2 linked regions of the Diceros bicornis minor genome follow. The protein of the gene in region 2 interacts with the protein of the main gene of each other region in a pairwise test. Links are inferred from orthologs where the notes say so. Each region holds a gene or a part of one and is shown on either strand. Other genes may lie near its edges.

The links.
Region 1: the proteins of KCTD13 (region 2) and ZMYND19 interact in binary tests that used the Homo sapiens proteins (3 or more experiments, as listed by UniProt). The two-hybrid records come from large-scale screens. The link is inferred for Diceros bicornis minor from reciprocal best matches to the Homo sapiens genes KCTD13 and ZMYND19.

The regions. Positions count from the first base shown.
Region 1 is NC_080767.1:44,091,288-44,099,033, forward strand, and holds the start of ZMYND19 (zinc finger MYND domain-containing protein 19), read right to left. Parts: upstream 3,006-7,746; 5' UTR 2,882-3,005; coding exon 2,831-2,881; intron 1,286-2,830; coding exon 1,226-1,285; intron 489-1,225; coding exon 382-488; intron 1-381. UniProt on the Homo sapiens protein: May be involved as a regulatory molecule in GPR24/MCH-R1 signaling.
Region 2 is NC_080765.1:21,747,972-21,755,696, reverse strand, and holds the start of KCTD13 (BTB/POZ domain-containing adapter for CUL3-mediated RhoA degradation protein 1), read left to right. Parts: upstream 1-4,711; 5' UTR 4,712-4,870; coding exon 4,871-5,114; intron 5,115-6,445; coding exon 6,446-6,615; intron 6,616-7,725. UniProt on the Homo sapiens protein: Substrate-specific adapter of a BCR (BTB-CUL3-RBX1) E3 ubiquitin-protein ligase complex required for synaptic transmission.

The DNA.
Region 1 (7,746 bases), on a different chromosome or scaffold from region 2:
CGTGGAGATCATCCGTGTGAGTGGCCCCAAGCATTTCTGAACTCCACTGTGCACCCTGAGGACAAGCAGCCCCTTCCCCACATCCTACCGACAGGCTCAGCAAAAGCCCGGTGAAGGAACCAGACCCTGCTCTCCCCTGGAGGAGGCTGTGTCCAGAGTGAGCACCAGAGCAGAAAGCCCACTGGTGTCTGAAGACTTAGTGCCATGATATATGAATCAGTCATTCCTCTGCGTTAGTGGCAACGACGCAAAACTAACTGGGAGTCTTGGGGAGGGCACCACCTGTCCAGGGCAGGTGGCTCCACTGCCTCCACACACCCTGGGGGCACCAGGGCTTACGCAGGACCCGAGGTGGGAAACAAACAGCTCGAAAATACCCACCACAGCAGCTCATGAAGGAGCCTTCCAGACCCTCTTCCTCGGTTTTTGTCAAAGGCATATGCAAATATCTTAGCACCATTTCCATCTGCGTCTACTTCCATCCGGGCCTGAGAAGAAACAAGGAAAAGTTCTATTAAAGAATCTCTGATTCTCGGAAACATTTCAAATTCGTCTTAGAAAAATCAAGTGAAACAAACAAGCCAGAAGAATAAATGCCAGTCTGGTTCCTGGGAAGTTAGGGGTCTGAGGAGGCTCCCACAGACACATGGCACTGAGAAGCCACTGCATCCCAACAAGCACCCGCCTGCATTCAAGTAAGACACGCGCACGAACCACTCTGCAAACTGCTGTGGACAGAGAAATAAACTTTCGTCCCCTGAAGAAAAGCCCACAATCCACTGAGAGAGAAACCCCTGAGCAAATAACTACCATGAGGGGGGCTGAGGTAAGAAAGTGGTGGCCCCAGACTCCTGGAGGCTGGAAGGGGAGGAGCGGGTGGTCGTCAGCAGACAAGAGTGGAAGGCAGGGAGGCTCAGGAAGACAGAGGGTGGCGAGCATGTGAGGCCAAGGCCAGAGGAGACGTGGGGTGGCACTGGACAGGTTCCAGGGAACTGGGCTTGTCCTACTGAACAATCAGCCACAAACATGACACAATGTGGTCTGTTTTCTAGGAGAAGCCAGCACCTAGGTGGAGGTAGGGGAGGGCCAGTGTTGCACAGGCTTCACGGGCCAGCTCACATGCACAGTCTTGCCCTCACATTACAGGGAAGAAAACCCATCATCCCTTGTTACCCTCCCCAGACACGGGCTGGAAGCAGGCCAGCAAAGGGACAGCCATCCTTACCTCAAAGGAGTAGCCCTCCACCAGCGGGATGTCTTGCTCATCAATCAGGGTGTACTTGGTCTGGAAATTAACGTTTCAAAACGTTACGATTGGAGTCAGTGTAAGGTACTAATAACAGGCAGGAATAGCCCCTTCAGACTGAGAGGGGTCAGCAGGCAAGGGGCATGGGGCAGTCTACCCCAAAGAGCAGGTCAGCGTGCCAAAGGCTGGTCAGTCCCCACTCAAGAGCATACCAGAGGAGACGGTACCAGGCTTCACTTCCCATCTGCACAAGACTAACCACAAAAAATGGACCTGAACTGGGCAACCTCTAAGCCGTACATGTTAATGCGCCCATGAACCCCGTCCACCACCGGGGCTTCGCTGCTGTAGAGGGAGGGGCCAGGACAGAGGCAGGACATCCAGAGGATTTCAATTAGTGTTTATTTAGTAACCTAGGTGGTTGGCACGCAGGTGCACACTACATTGTCCTTTTTTGCTTTTTGTCTGTCTGAAACATTTCAAACAAAAGTTTTAAGGGATGACATTAATGCAGCCAGTCACTGACTTAAAAGGGGTCTCAGGGCTGAGAGAAGCCCACCCCGCCTAGTTAGAAAGCAACATCCCGGGCCAGCCTGGTGGTGCAGCAGTTAAGTGAGCGCACTCCGCTTCCGTGGCCTGGGGTGCACAGGTTCGGATGCCGGGCGCACACAGACGCACCACTTGTCAGGCCATGCTGTGGCAGGCGTCCCACATAAAGTAGAGGAAGATGGGCACGGATGTTAGCTCACAGCCAGTCTTCCTCAGCAAAAAAAAAAAAAAAAAAAGCATTGGCACGGATGTTAGCTCAGGGCTGATCTTCCTCACAAAAAAAAGAAAGCAACATCCCTCTGCAGGAAGGGCAGGAAACGTCCCCAAACCGACCAGTCTCACTCTTGCTGGGAAAGCTTTTTTCTAGGATCTGAATCGGTTTTACCTTCATCTGACTGCCTCTGCTCCTCTCTCCCACCAGAAGCTTCCGCCGCTGGTGATGGGAACAGGGTTCCCATCCAGGGTGAAGTCTGTGGCTGGTGCAGCTGCACGACCGGCCGGCTCCTGGAAACAGCCAAGCCTGGATGCCCACAGGTGCCAGGAAGCCCCAGCCTCGAACACACGGAGGGCGGGGCCAGGTAAGGGAGAGAAGCAGAGGGAGACCCTGCTCTGGCAAGGCCCACTGAGGCTCAGCCAGACGCGGCCACCGCTGGCAGCGTGAGACCTGCGCGAAGCTCCACTACTGACCGACAGGCACGGAGCGGCGCGCACACACCCGTCTTGGCAAGCAGCGAGCGCGCCGCTTCGGAAGGGCGCAGCGCTGCCCGCGGCCGCAGGTGCAGCCCGACAGCTCTCTCCTCCCCCGGCCACAGTGCACGGTCTGAGCCCCAGCCCGCGGCCCGAGGAGAGCTGCCCCGCAGGGACACGCCGCCGGCCCGCCGTCCGTACAACCGCCCGGCCCCACGCTCCCGGCTCCCGGCCAGAGCCCCGCGCCCCCGGCCCCCGGCCCCACGCTCCCGGCTCCCGGCCAGAGCCACGCGCCCCAGGCCCCCGGCCAGAGCCCCGCGCCTCAGCCCCCGGCCCCGCGCCGCTCACCTTCCCGGCCACCCGGCCGAGCCGCACGATGCCCAATTTGAAGTCGGTCATGGCCGGGCCTGCGCTCGGCCGGCGGCGCCGCTCCCTCGGGAGGCGCCGGGTCGGGCCGGGGCGGGGCCGCGGCGCGCCAGGCGGGCGGGCCGGGGCCGCGGTCGGGGCCGGGCGGGCGGGCGGGCGGGACGAGGCTGGGCCGGACTCGGGCCGCCACCGCCTCGCGCCCGCCGGACCTGCCACGCGCCGCCGCCGCCACCGCGCGCACCACCGCGAGCGGGGCTGAAGGCGGGGCGGGGCGCGGACACACCCCCGCCCGCCGCCTCCTGGCCAATCGCGGGGCGCGCACTGCTCCGGCCGCCGCGCGCCGCCGCACCGCGGCCAATGGGCGGAGGGCGAGTGCGCCTGCGCGCTGAGGAGCAGGGCGAGCGCGGGGGAGGGGCGCGGCCGGGGGCGGCGCCTGCGCGGCCGTCCCGCGCGACGTCAGGTTCGCGGGAAGCTTTGTGCGGCGGCGCTCCGGCCTCGGGGTCCCCGCCCCCGGCCTCACACCCCGCGACCCCCGCCCTGCTTGGAGGGCGGCCCGGCTCGCGCCCCGGCGCACTCCGCAGGGGCCCTGCACGTGGCGTCTGTGCGGGATCCGCTGCGGCTCCCCGCCTCCGGTCCCTGTGCTCAGGGCCGCGGGCAGGAGGCGCGGGGCGGGGACGGACCCAGAGCCACGGGCCGCTGCGGAGCAGGGGCCGGGGCAGGGCCTGCGGGACGCAGAAGACGGCCCGAGCCCCGCCAGGAGCGCCCTCCTTCCTCCCCGGCCGCCGGCCGCGTCCTCACCACGGGGGCCGGGGCTCCTCCACCCAGCCCATCCTCGGGCTGCACTCACCTTCCCGGGGCCTCAAGCTCCGTAACTGAGCTGGGGCGATGCGCCAGGGTTCTGAATGCTCCAGGTCCTTCCTGAACAGGACCTCCAGGGCCTGACGGCCATGGGGGGCCTTCTGCCCACCACCCGTGTCTCCTGGCTACCACTCCAGCTGGGCTTCCACCCGCAGAACCTACTGAGACTACTCGACAGCAGTGCACAAGGCAAATTAAAAACTCCTGCTTGTATTCCAGCGAGTGAGGCAGAAGAGGCCCACAGTGAGGGAGTTATATGCCATACTAGAAACCGATAAAGGCTATGGCAGAAACAAGTAGATTGGCATTAGGGGGTTGGAGTCCTGGTGAAGGTGGTGGGCAAAGTAGGCCTCATGGACAAAGGTGGCCATTGTGACCAGACCTAAGTGAAGGAGAGCAAGAGGGGACAAGGTCAGAAAGGTGGTAAGGGGGGGTCACATAGGCTCTGTGAGGACGTTGACTTTATGCTTAGAAAGAAGGGAGGCTGTTGGAGGAGCTGAACAGGGAAGCAGCCTCTCAATGACTCACGCTGGCTGATGGGGACAACTGTTTACACCGGGAAAAAGTGGAAGCAGGAATGCTGTTAGGGAAATGAATGCAAGGGCTCAACCAAGAAACGATAGTGTTTGGGCACATATGCTGGCGGTGTTCTGTAGCAGTCAGGGTAGCCCTGGTTATGCTACAGTAACAAACAACCCCAAATTCTCAGTAGCTTAGCAAAATAAAAATGTATTTCTTTGTTTTTTTTGTGAGGAAGATCAGCCCTGAGCTAACATCCATGCTAATCCTCCTCTTTTTGCTGAGGAAGATTGACCCTGGGCTAACATCCATGCCAATCCTCCTCTTTATGCTGAGGAAGATTGGTCCTGGGCTAAACATCCGTGCCCATCTTCCTCCTCTTTATGTGGGAGGCTGCCACAGCGTGGCCTGACAAGCGGAGCCTCAGTGCGCACTGGGGATCTGAACCCGGGCCACCAGCAGTGGAGCGTGCGCACTTAACCGCTACACCATGGGTCCGGCCCCTAAAGGTGTATTTCTTACTCATGCTACATGTTAAGGTTACAAGGCAGTTCAATATATGAATATACAGTTGAGGGGAGATGTCCAGCCTGGGGGTATAAATTTGGCATTCATTAGCATATTTGTTATATTTAAAGCCATACAACTGGATGAGATCACCGTGGGAGAAAATGCAGATAGAGAAAAAGAGAGGTCAAAGACTGAACCCTGACACTCCCATGTTAAGGGGGAAGAGAGGCTAGAAAGAGGAGGAGTCAGTAAAGAGAAAGAAGATGTTAAGTAGGAGGAAAACCAGGAGACGGCAGTGGCCTGGAAGCCCAGTGGAGACAGCGCCTGTGGTACAGGGAGGGATCAGCGATGTCAAACGCTGCTGACAGGTCCTGTAAGATGAGGATTGGGAGTTATTCAATAGATTGAGCAACACAGCATGAGGGCACTGGTTACCTTGACAAGCACAGATTTGGTGGTGTGGTGGGGGAATGAGTCCATAAATGGTTAAGAGGGAGTGGAAGGAGACAACTGGAGACCATGAGACAGACAACTCCCCTGAGGCGTTTTTTGCTAAAAACAGGAGTCAGGGTGCTAGAGGGAGTGAGGGAGGTAGTGGCCAGAGATGTGTGGATTTGAGATTGTGAGAGGGCTGCAGTTGTTGGTGACTACCATAGGTTTCAGTTACCTACCAATGTGTAACAAACCACCGCAAACTTAACGGCTTGAAATAACATTGATTTATAATTTCTCGCAATTCTAATTGACTGGGGATCTTCGGTTGCACATGGTGTCAGCTGGGAATTTGAGTGGGACACCTCATTTCTCCTCCGTGTAACCTCTCTCTGTGTGATGTCTCATTATCCAGGGTTTCCCCACATGGCCAGGCAGGATAGCTAGACTTCCTTACAGTGTGGAGGCTGTGCTGTGTGTGACAAGTGCCACTGGGCAAACATTTATTGGGTTTCTGCTTGAATCATGCTTGCTAGTATCTCACTGGCCAAAGCAAGTTATGTGAGCAAGCCCAAAATCAGCGTAGGAGGGCTGTGCACAAAAGCATGGGTTCACTGGGGGGCTTAGGAAGTGTGGTTCAGTGGAGGGCTACCAGTGGAACAGCCTGCCCCAGTCCGCCCTCTGGCCTCTAATGATCCATGCTCCTCCCACATGAAGATTGCACTCAGCACCTCCTAAGACCCTCAGTATCACCATCTCATCAAGGTGTTAGGCTTAGAGTCCAGTATCTTGTGATATGCAACAGGGCCAGATGTGGATGAGAACACCTCAGGTGTGACCCCTTTTGCTCCAGAGGCATGTTATTACCCCTCCCATACCCAACATTCTACGGTGGAGCACAAGATAACTGAATAGACACCGCATTCAAAAAGGAGGAGTGTACCCCACAGTCACTGGTCCATAACAATTTGGAAATTCAGCCAGACGTCCATCGCAGCGTTCTTTGATCAGGGCCTGTCTGTTCCCCGTGTGGTGTGGTTCCCTGACCTCCTGTCTGGGCAGTGCTTGGCTTCTCCCTCTGGACTCTTGGCCTTGCACTCTCGGTCATCCTCCCTTTCCATAGGAAATGGCCCAGGTTTGCAGCTGAGTAGCTTCCTCAGCTTCTTGCCTGTAGAAAGTTGGGGGCCCAGAGGCCTCTTTTATTTCAAACTCTGTCCATTTTAGTTCAAGCATATACAACCCTTAAAAAAATTTGTGGATTTTCTATGTATCAAATTAAAACTCACTTCATTAGACAAAAGCTACAGCACAAATGTCTTTGAGAAGGCTCCTTTCTACTGTGGGCTACAAGTCAGGCACTGTGGGACAATGACCTCAAAATTCTTAGAAGCCCTTTTGTATGGCTGACAGGGTCTATGAGGACCCACCCACCCAGAAATCTTTCAGAGGTCTTAACAAGGGATCATACAACCACACCCTTGAATTTATTTTGACCCCGAGGCCATGTTTTGTTGGCAGGACCCCGGAATTGATCTTCACCACGACACCGTCGCTCACCTTGAGAACCTCTTGCTGCCTGGAAAGGCTGGGAATGAGAAATAGTTTTTATTTGCCAACTTAGCAAGACCTGGCTTAGAAACATGTCCTCTAACTTCTGCTGGAAGATGCAACAGTCGCTTCTTTAGTTCCTTTCTCTCTTCCTTCACTTTCAGTAAACAAATGAAAGAAGCCAACTGGCCCTCTAAGCTTTCTGCTAAGAAAATCAGATCATTACAGACATTTTCTTTTGTGTGTGTGTGAGGAAGACCAGCCCTGAGCTAACATCTGATGCCAATCCTCCTCTTTTTTCTTTTTGCTGAGGAAGATTGGCCCTGGGCTAACATCCATGCCCATCTTCTTCTACTTTACATGGGACACCACCACAGCATGGCTTGAAAAGCAGTGTGCTGGTGCGAGCCCGGCATCGAAACCTGTGGACCCCAGGCTGCCAAAGCGGAGTGTACGTACTTAACCACTGCGTCACCGGACTGGCCCCATAGATACATTTTCTGTCTTCCACATTACCATAGGCAATGGCTTTGCCATTTTTCTGCTAATACCCAACATGGCTTATAACTTTCTCTAGCCTCCAACGGCAATATTCTCACTGCCTTTCTAGTGTCCTCCTGCTGCCTGGTTCCAAAGTCAGTGCCGTATTTTAGAATTTTGGTATGGCAGTATCTCACTTCTAAGTACCAATGTCTGTTCCAGTTATCTATTGTTGCATATTAAACCACCCCAAAACTTAGTGGCTTAAAACAACAACTATTTATTTTCTCATGATTCTGTAATCTAGATTGGGCTCAGATGGCTGGTTCTGCTATTGTTAGCTGGTGTGGTAGGCTTCTCAAATTATCACCATCAATCCCTTCCCTCCCTACAAGTGTGTGATGTTCCACCACATTGGTCCTGTGACTGTTTTGATGCATTTAATGGGTAGAAAGTTCTGGGACTTCTAAGCCCAGGCCTGAGGACTGGCTGCCTCACCTTCCTCCTTCTTGGGGGCCTACCGCCAGGCAATCAGTGTCACTCTCTGGAGA
Region 2 (7,725 bases):
AAGCAAAAATAAACAAGTGGGACTACACCAAACTAAAAAGTTTCTGCACAGCAAAGGAAACCATCAACAAAATGAAAAGGTAACTGATAGAATGGGAGAAAACATTTGCAAATCATATATCTGATAAGGGGTTAATATCCAAAATATATAAAGAACTCATGCAACTCAATAGCAAAAAAAACCCCAAACAATCCAATTAAAAAGTGGGCAGAGGAACTGAACAGACATTTTTCCAAAGAAGACATACGAATGGCCAACAGGTACGTGAAATGGTGCTCAACATCACTAATCATCAGGGAAATGCAAATCAAAACCACAATGAGATATCACCTCCACCTGTTAGAATGGTTGTTATTGAAAAGACAAGTGATAACAAGTGTTGGTGAGGATGTGGAGAAAAGGGAACACTTGTGCACTGTTGGTGGGAATGTAAATTGGTGCAGCCAGTATGGAAAACAGTATGAAGGTTCCTCAAAAAATCAAAAATAGAAATACCATATGATCCAGCAATTCCACATCTGGGAATATATCTGAAGGAAACCAAATATCTATCTCAAAGAGATATCTGCACCCCCATGTTCACTGCAGCACTATTTACAATAGCCAAGACATGGAAACTAAGCGTCCATCAACAGACGAATAATAAAGAAAATGTGGTATATGTAAAACGGAATATTATTCAGCCATAAAAAGAAAGAAATCCTGCCATTTGCCGTAACATAGATAGACCTTGAGGGCATTATACTAAGTGAAATAAATCAAACAGAGAAAGACAAATACGCTTTGATATCACTTATATGTGGAATCTGAAAAAACTGAACTCACAGAAAGAGAAAACAGATTGATGGTTGCCAGAGGTGGGGGGTGGGGGGTGAGGGAAATGAGTGAAGGCAGTCAAAAGGTACAAACTTCCAATTACATATAAACTTATATATATAAACTTTCAATTATAAATAAGTTCTGGGGATGTAATGTACAACATGGTGACTATAAAAAAAGAAAAGAAAAAAAGATAAATTATATATGAAAACCATGAAAATTTACTTAAATTATAGAATATATATGTAAATATTAAGAAAGTTTACATCGTTTGAAAACTTACCCTGATCTTGTACAAACCGAAATATTGTGCTGGCATTATTTTTACATGGCAAATTAAAATTTAAAGACACTGGATCATGCTAAAAGCTCTTCTTTTATCTTGGAACTAAGGTCTTTTCTTACCCTGTAGCTATAATAACAAAGCCTGTTACATAAATATACTTTTCAGTGCCCATAAAGGAAACATATACAGTTTAACAATTCTTTTAGACAGTTTGACAGTTTAACTGGACTAGTTATTCCTAGAGTGCACACATACCACGGAGTAATAATTATTATTTTTTTGCTGAGGAAGATTAGCCCTGAGCTAACATCTGTTGCCAATCCTCCTCCTCCTTTTTTTTTTTCTTGAAGAAGATTAGCTCTCAGTTAGCATGTATACCAATCTTCCTCTACTTTATATGTGGGTCGCTGCCACAGCATGGCTGACAAGTGGTGTAGGTCTGTGCCTGCGATCCGAACCCATGAACCCAGGCCACTGAAGTGGAGCACGCCGAACTTAACCACTATGCCATGGGGCTGGCCCCTAGAATAATTTTTTGATTAGTTAATCTTAAAGTTTTCCAAGAGAGGGAATGGATAGCAAAAAAATTGAGAGGAAGCTACTTCAGACAAATATAAAATTATCACTCTCCAAAGCTAATCAATGTTCCCTCTGCAAGGACAGGGAAGACAGTTTAAACACAGTAAAACAGATTTTGACATATACATACAGACACAAAAAGAGTGACATTCCAGCTCATTTAAATAATAACTCAGGCACTTGACAGTTTAATAGAGCTGTACAATTAAAAAGTCAGCATTTAATAACCTACAAAGTACAGAAATGAAATATTGCCTGTGTTAAACAAAATAATCTCTCTTTCTGACACACAAGACAATCTCCTCATGAGGGTTTCTTCCTCTTTCGTTCTGAAGTACCTTTAAATAAACAATTTTGTTCTTGTCAGAAGTTCCCCAAAATGGCCACTGCAATTTCAAATTTGTCCCTAGTGAAATTGTGTCAGTTAGCGATATAAGGGTACAAGTTAGTCTAGTCATGAGAAAACATGAAAGCAGCAGCTACTTGGCCCAGTTTTAGTTAAGATGAGCCACCATAAGGATGGTGCTGTGCAACCTTGTACCTCCAGAACTTGGCCAAAGGCCAGTCGTCATTGATCAGGGGCCAGAGAAAATGTCCTGATCTGGGCAGAAGAAATGAAACAAAACAATTCTCAGAGACACAGACAAAACTCGGGAAGAAGTCCTTATAAAGGTTGGAAATGATGATCCGAGCCAAAGTTTATCCAAAGGACACTGGTCTGAGGATACCTTCTGAATTTCACAGCCTCTGGGGCCGGGTGGCGGTTGGACAGACTTATTGGCTCTTGGTTGATGGAGCAATTTGTCTGGTTAATTCTGATAACAAATGAGACTCCAGCATGCTAACTAGTTACATGACCCCCCAAGTGGTTGGCATCCCCAACTTCTTAGAGGGACAAGTGGTATTCAGCCACAAGAAACTGAGCAATAACAGGTCTGTGATGGCCTTACACATCTAGGGCTGCAAACCTGTCCTTTCCCTATAGACTTTTCCTCTTATAGACAAACAAAATTCAAAACACTAGACAAGAGGACAGACCATAGAAGCCGGTATAGAAGGCCAGAAAACAATTTCACCAAGGAAAAATAAAAATCTGATTGGATAACCAAAAAATCCAGGGGGACCATATTCCAAGGAAGACAAACAATCCCAATACTAAAGGGTCTCAATGAAACATCAGAGCTCAAGTCAGCGAGAACTTACGTCCCAGCCATGGGCAGGATGGACCTCAAACAGAGACACAAGGGGTCTCAGATGTGCACATTATTACTAGTGTCAAGGGTCCCAGTCCAAGGCAGTGAGGGTTTAAATGAATCTCTTTGGCTGGTCCATTTCTGACAATGTTCTCCAGCCAAACACCACCAGGAACACACCTCTGGTTGAACAAGGGAGACCGCACATCATGGGGAACCCATCTTGGGCATCTCAGGAAGCACATGTTAGAAAGCTTATGTTATTACAGGATTTGGGCTTGTTAGGTGATTTTCTAGGAGGATTCAGGAAAGCGGAGATTTGCTCTAGGTTGGATGCTGTCAGGAAGTGGGGTTAATTCTTTTTGGTTATCTTAATTCTTATCTAGAAATTAGGAGGAATGGATGGGGCTAAAGCTGTACTTGGTAAAGAAGCAGCAGTCACTCAAAATGTCGGGGAGGAGGTTGTGTTTGGTCATTTCTGTGGTTTGGACAATGTGTTCAGATATGCTTATGGACATGATTATTTCTCTCAATCCACCAGAGAGTGACTTTGATGTTGGTGTTCTCTGAAATTGTTTATGCTCAACAGGACAACACTGCAGCCTAGCTGATAGTGCCAGGTGGGCTTCCAGCAGCACCAAGGCTTCTGGAGGGAGAGTGCAAATTAGCCTCCAGCTGTCACAAGCTGCTTTTCTCTTTTTCACCAGCTACACTTGAAAAATAAGAATTGGCCACTCCTTTGGTAGAACATGAGCTCTCCACCAGACACCACAGGCTCCATTACCCCCCAATACCTAATAACTGGCCCACCCCACTCATTTACACTCCTACATGTCCCCTGCAGGCATTTAAATTCACACCCCTCACTAAGCACAAAACGAAGCAAGCAAACCCAGAGGGAAGTAGCTTGCCCAGGATCACCCAGTGAACTGGTGGCAGGATGGAAACTACAACTCTGACTCTGTGTTTCCTCTTCCCTCCAGCAAATCTCCCTGGTAGGCATTAAAGTCGATTGTTCAATCTCTGATGTATCAGCTTCTAAACTGGATGTAGATCGGGTCAGATAAACGCACTTCTCACCACACTTTGTCAACAACGTGTACCTATCTTTTTTTTTTTTTTCAGGGTTGGGTATCTCACGGCAGTAGCTGGGATTCTAAGACCTTTGCTCAGCCACTCCAGCCACCCTTGACATTCTTTCTGCTCCTCAAATACACCGAGCGTGTTCCTGCCTCAGAGTCTGTGTATTTGTCTTTCCCTCTGCCTGGAACTGTCTTCCTCACACCTCCACGTGGCTGCTTCTTCTCTGCTTCAGCCCAGAATCACCTCCTCAGAGAGGCCCTCCATGACAACCTTACCTACTCCCACCCTGCATGCCCTAGCAGTACTGCCACCTCCCCTGGGAGGGCCCCCCCCCACCCGCTTTGGCCTCCTTTGCGAGCTTCCCCTGGTGCTTTGTTCGAAGCTCTCCTCAGTCTGTCGAGTGCGTGGCGCTGGGAGGCGGGAAACCTTGCCCAATCCCCTGCCTCTCTGGGCCTCAGTTTTCCCTTCACGCCCGCGAAGCGCCCCGAGAGCGGAAAGCCAACCACGGGGCGGGGACGTCGCTTTCCACAGCAGGCAGATGGCGAGGCGTCTCCTGGAGCTGGTCTCCGGTACTCTCCAGGCCAGTGCACCGCACAGAGCCCGCAGCAAGTCTCCGCCGCAGTCTGCGAGCGACCCCTCAACGGGCCCAAGGCCACTACGCATGCTCCGCACTCCCCCCCCCCCCCCCGCCCCGCGAGGCCCGGGCGGGACCTTGATGCGCCTGCGCAGCTGCTCGGCCCCGCTTCCGGGCGTGCGGGCGCGATGGGGCTGAGGGCGGGTGTAGATGAGTAGCGGCGGCGTGTGGGCGTGCGAGCCCAGCGGTTTGGCCCTAGAGCTCGGGTCCCGGGGTCTTCGGGAGGGCCAGGGGGCGCGGAGTGCTTAGAATCGCTGCCTGCTGCCACCACCTGGCATGTCGGCCGAAGCCTCGGGCCCGGCGGCGGCCGAGGCCCCGTCCCTGGAAGTTCCTAAACCCTCGGGTCTCGAGCCTGGCGTCGCCGCCTACGGTCTCAAGCCGCTGACGCCGAACAGCAAGTACGTGAAGCTGAACGTGGGCGGCTCGCTGCACTACACCACGCTGCGCACCCTCACGGGGCAGGACACCTTGCTCAAGGCCATGTTCAGCGGCCGCGCGGAGGTGCTCACGGACGCCGGAGGTACGCGCGCCGCCCTCGCTTGAGCTTCCTCCAGCCTCCAGATCCCCTTCCTCTAGTCTGTCGTCGCCCCGTCTCCTCATGACCCTTCTCTCGTCTCACTGCGGTCCAGTGAACTCATTCTCGCCTCCTCCGGCCCCCACATCCCATCTCATCGTCTCATTCGTAATCTCCCTCCTCCCCCAGTCTTGACCCCCAGCAATAACCAGCATTTACGGAACCTCCCCTAACTCGGCCAGGCGCTGCGGTAAGGGATTCAACAGATCACCTCGGAATTTTCATTACCGCTCTCCCCTAGTTCTCCCAGTCTTCACCACTGAGCTCAAAAGACTTGGAAACCAGCCCTGCTGCCAGCAGCATCCTTCCAGGCAACCTTCATCCGTTTTTTCCAGCTGCCCAGCCTTTTGTTCCGCTAACTCAACACCGCTAACAACCAGCCTGGAGAGTTGGCGGATCTTGTCTGTCTCTGTGTTCCCCTAACCCAGGTTCCTGTACCCTCTAGGAATCCTTCTGTAAATGCCGATTGTAGCAGGAGAAGGCTGCTTTGGGTTTGCCAGGGACACCAGACTGGAGGGTGGACAGTTCTCCCTGGCAGGCGAACCTTACCTTCTTGGAGTGCTACATTCAGGTTTGGGCCGCGCATGCCCAAGTGGAAACTTAAAGGGTTTTTTTTGAGGCGGGGTGGGGGGGGGGATTCAGAAGGTGTAAACAAGGATTGTAAGAGCAGGAGAATAAACATTTGGGAGGTGGAGCTCAGTCTTCAAATATCTGAAGGTGAAGAATTTATTTGTTCAGTAAGTATTTGTAAGCCAGTTAGTGCTGGAGATACTTTAGTGAACGAATCTGATAAGATTAGCCTTATGGAGTTTGCTTTTTCGTGAGGGCAGGGTGAGAACAGTAAGCAAGTAAACATACAAAAAAAAATACGTGTAATTCCAGATATAGTAATAAGTTCTATGAAGAATATAAAGGGTAAAATGGTAGACAACTGGAGGGTGGGGTAGACATTTTAATTAAATAGATGGTCAGAATTAACACAAGAAGTTAGAGGTTTATTGATAAGGTAATCTGTAAGAACTTTCTCATGATGAGAACCTTCTCAGTGTAGAATAGACTTGGAAGAGAATTAATTCTCTGTGGCTGGATATGTTGAAAAGGGGCCTTGGGAGAACTCACTGGAGATGTTTTAAAGGGATTTTCTTGGATATGGGGGAGGTTTGAGATAGATCAATATTCAGACGTGTAGCTTTGAAATCCTTTTTTCATAAAACTGTAGTAGCTCCATGGTCCCCCAGCAAAGCCATCCTTCTTCCTGCCTCTCCCCACCCTACCAGGTTGGGTGCTGATTGACCGGAGCGGCCGCCACTTTGGTACAATCCTCAACTACCTGCGGGACGGGTCCGTGCCACTGCCTGAGAGTACCAGAGAACTGGGGGAGCTACTAGGCGAAGCACGCTACTACCTGGTACAGGGCCTGATTGAGGACTGCCAGCTGGCACTGCAGGTGAGGGTCCCTCCCTCGACTCCTGAGTCCGACCCCTATGACTGGAGAGCTGCCCAAGCAGTTAGATATTAGGACATTAAAAAAAAAAGGGAATATGGGGTACTATTTGGAGAGGCTGCCTTTGGTCTGGCCCTGACTAGCCATGACCCAGAGAATTTAGGGGTACTGTCCTCTGTGTCCCTGCTGCCTCAGGCAGGGCCCCCCTCACCACCACGTGCCAAGACTACTGCAATAGTTAAATGACTGCTCTCTCTGCTTCTTGCTGTTCCTACCCAGCCAGTCTAGCTGTTACACCACCACCTGAGTAATGATCCTTGAAAACAATCCCAGTTTACTCTTTCCCTTGTTCAGAAATCCTAAATAACTCCTTTGTGCTGCTAGGGAAAAAAATCTAAATTTAAATTGGAATATAATGATCTCCATGATCTGGTCCTATCCTGGGAGGCAGCATTCCACGCCCTGCCTCCCAGGGGGTTTGAAAATTTTTTTTTTTAGCAATGAAATCTCATATAAGCAGAGCTGCTCCCAATAAAACAGGGTTGGGGGTTCCAGAGCCCCACCTGCTGGGCTTCTCTTCTGTGGATCTCTTAGGGTTCTGAGGAGAAGAGCTTGGAAAGCCTAGCCAGGATATATGGGTTAAGTGTCACCTCTGCCACAGCTGACTGAGTGACCTTGAGTGAGTCAGTTCCTACCTCTGGCGTTCTGTCCTCGTGTTCCAAAAGATAGGGAAATGAGAAAAATATGTACAGTGTAGTGAGTTTTACATAAAGCCTTTTATTCTGTTCAGTTTTTACAATGTTAAAAATGTTCTTTCATGATACGATATTAATAGGAGATTATAAGTTTCTTTTTTGATGCCCTTTATATATTAAAAAGTGGCTACTATGAACAACTTTCTGTTATCTTGGAGAGTACTTATTGGTTCTTGAAATCCAAAAATATAGAATTCCTTTAGGAAATATCCATGTTTTTCAAACTTTTCGACTTCATACCATAGAAAACAATGCATTTTATACTCACATACATATAACTGAAATAAGAGTTTCATAAAATGATACTTTTAGTGAAATACACTCGATATATTGTTTTCTTTCTTTTTTTAATGCTGTT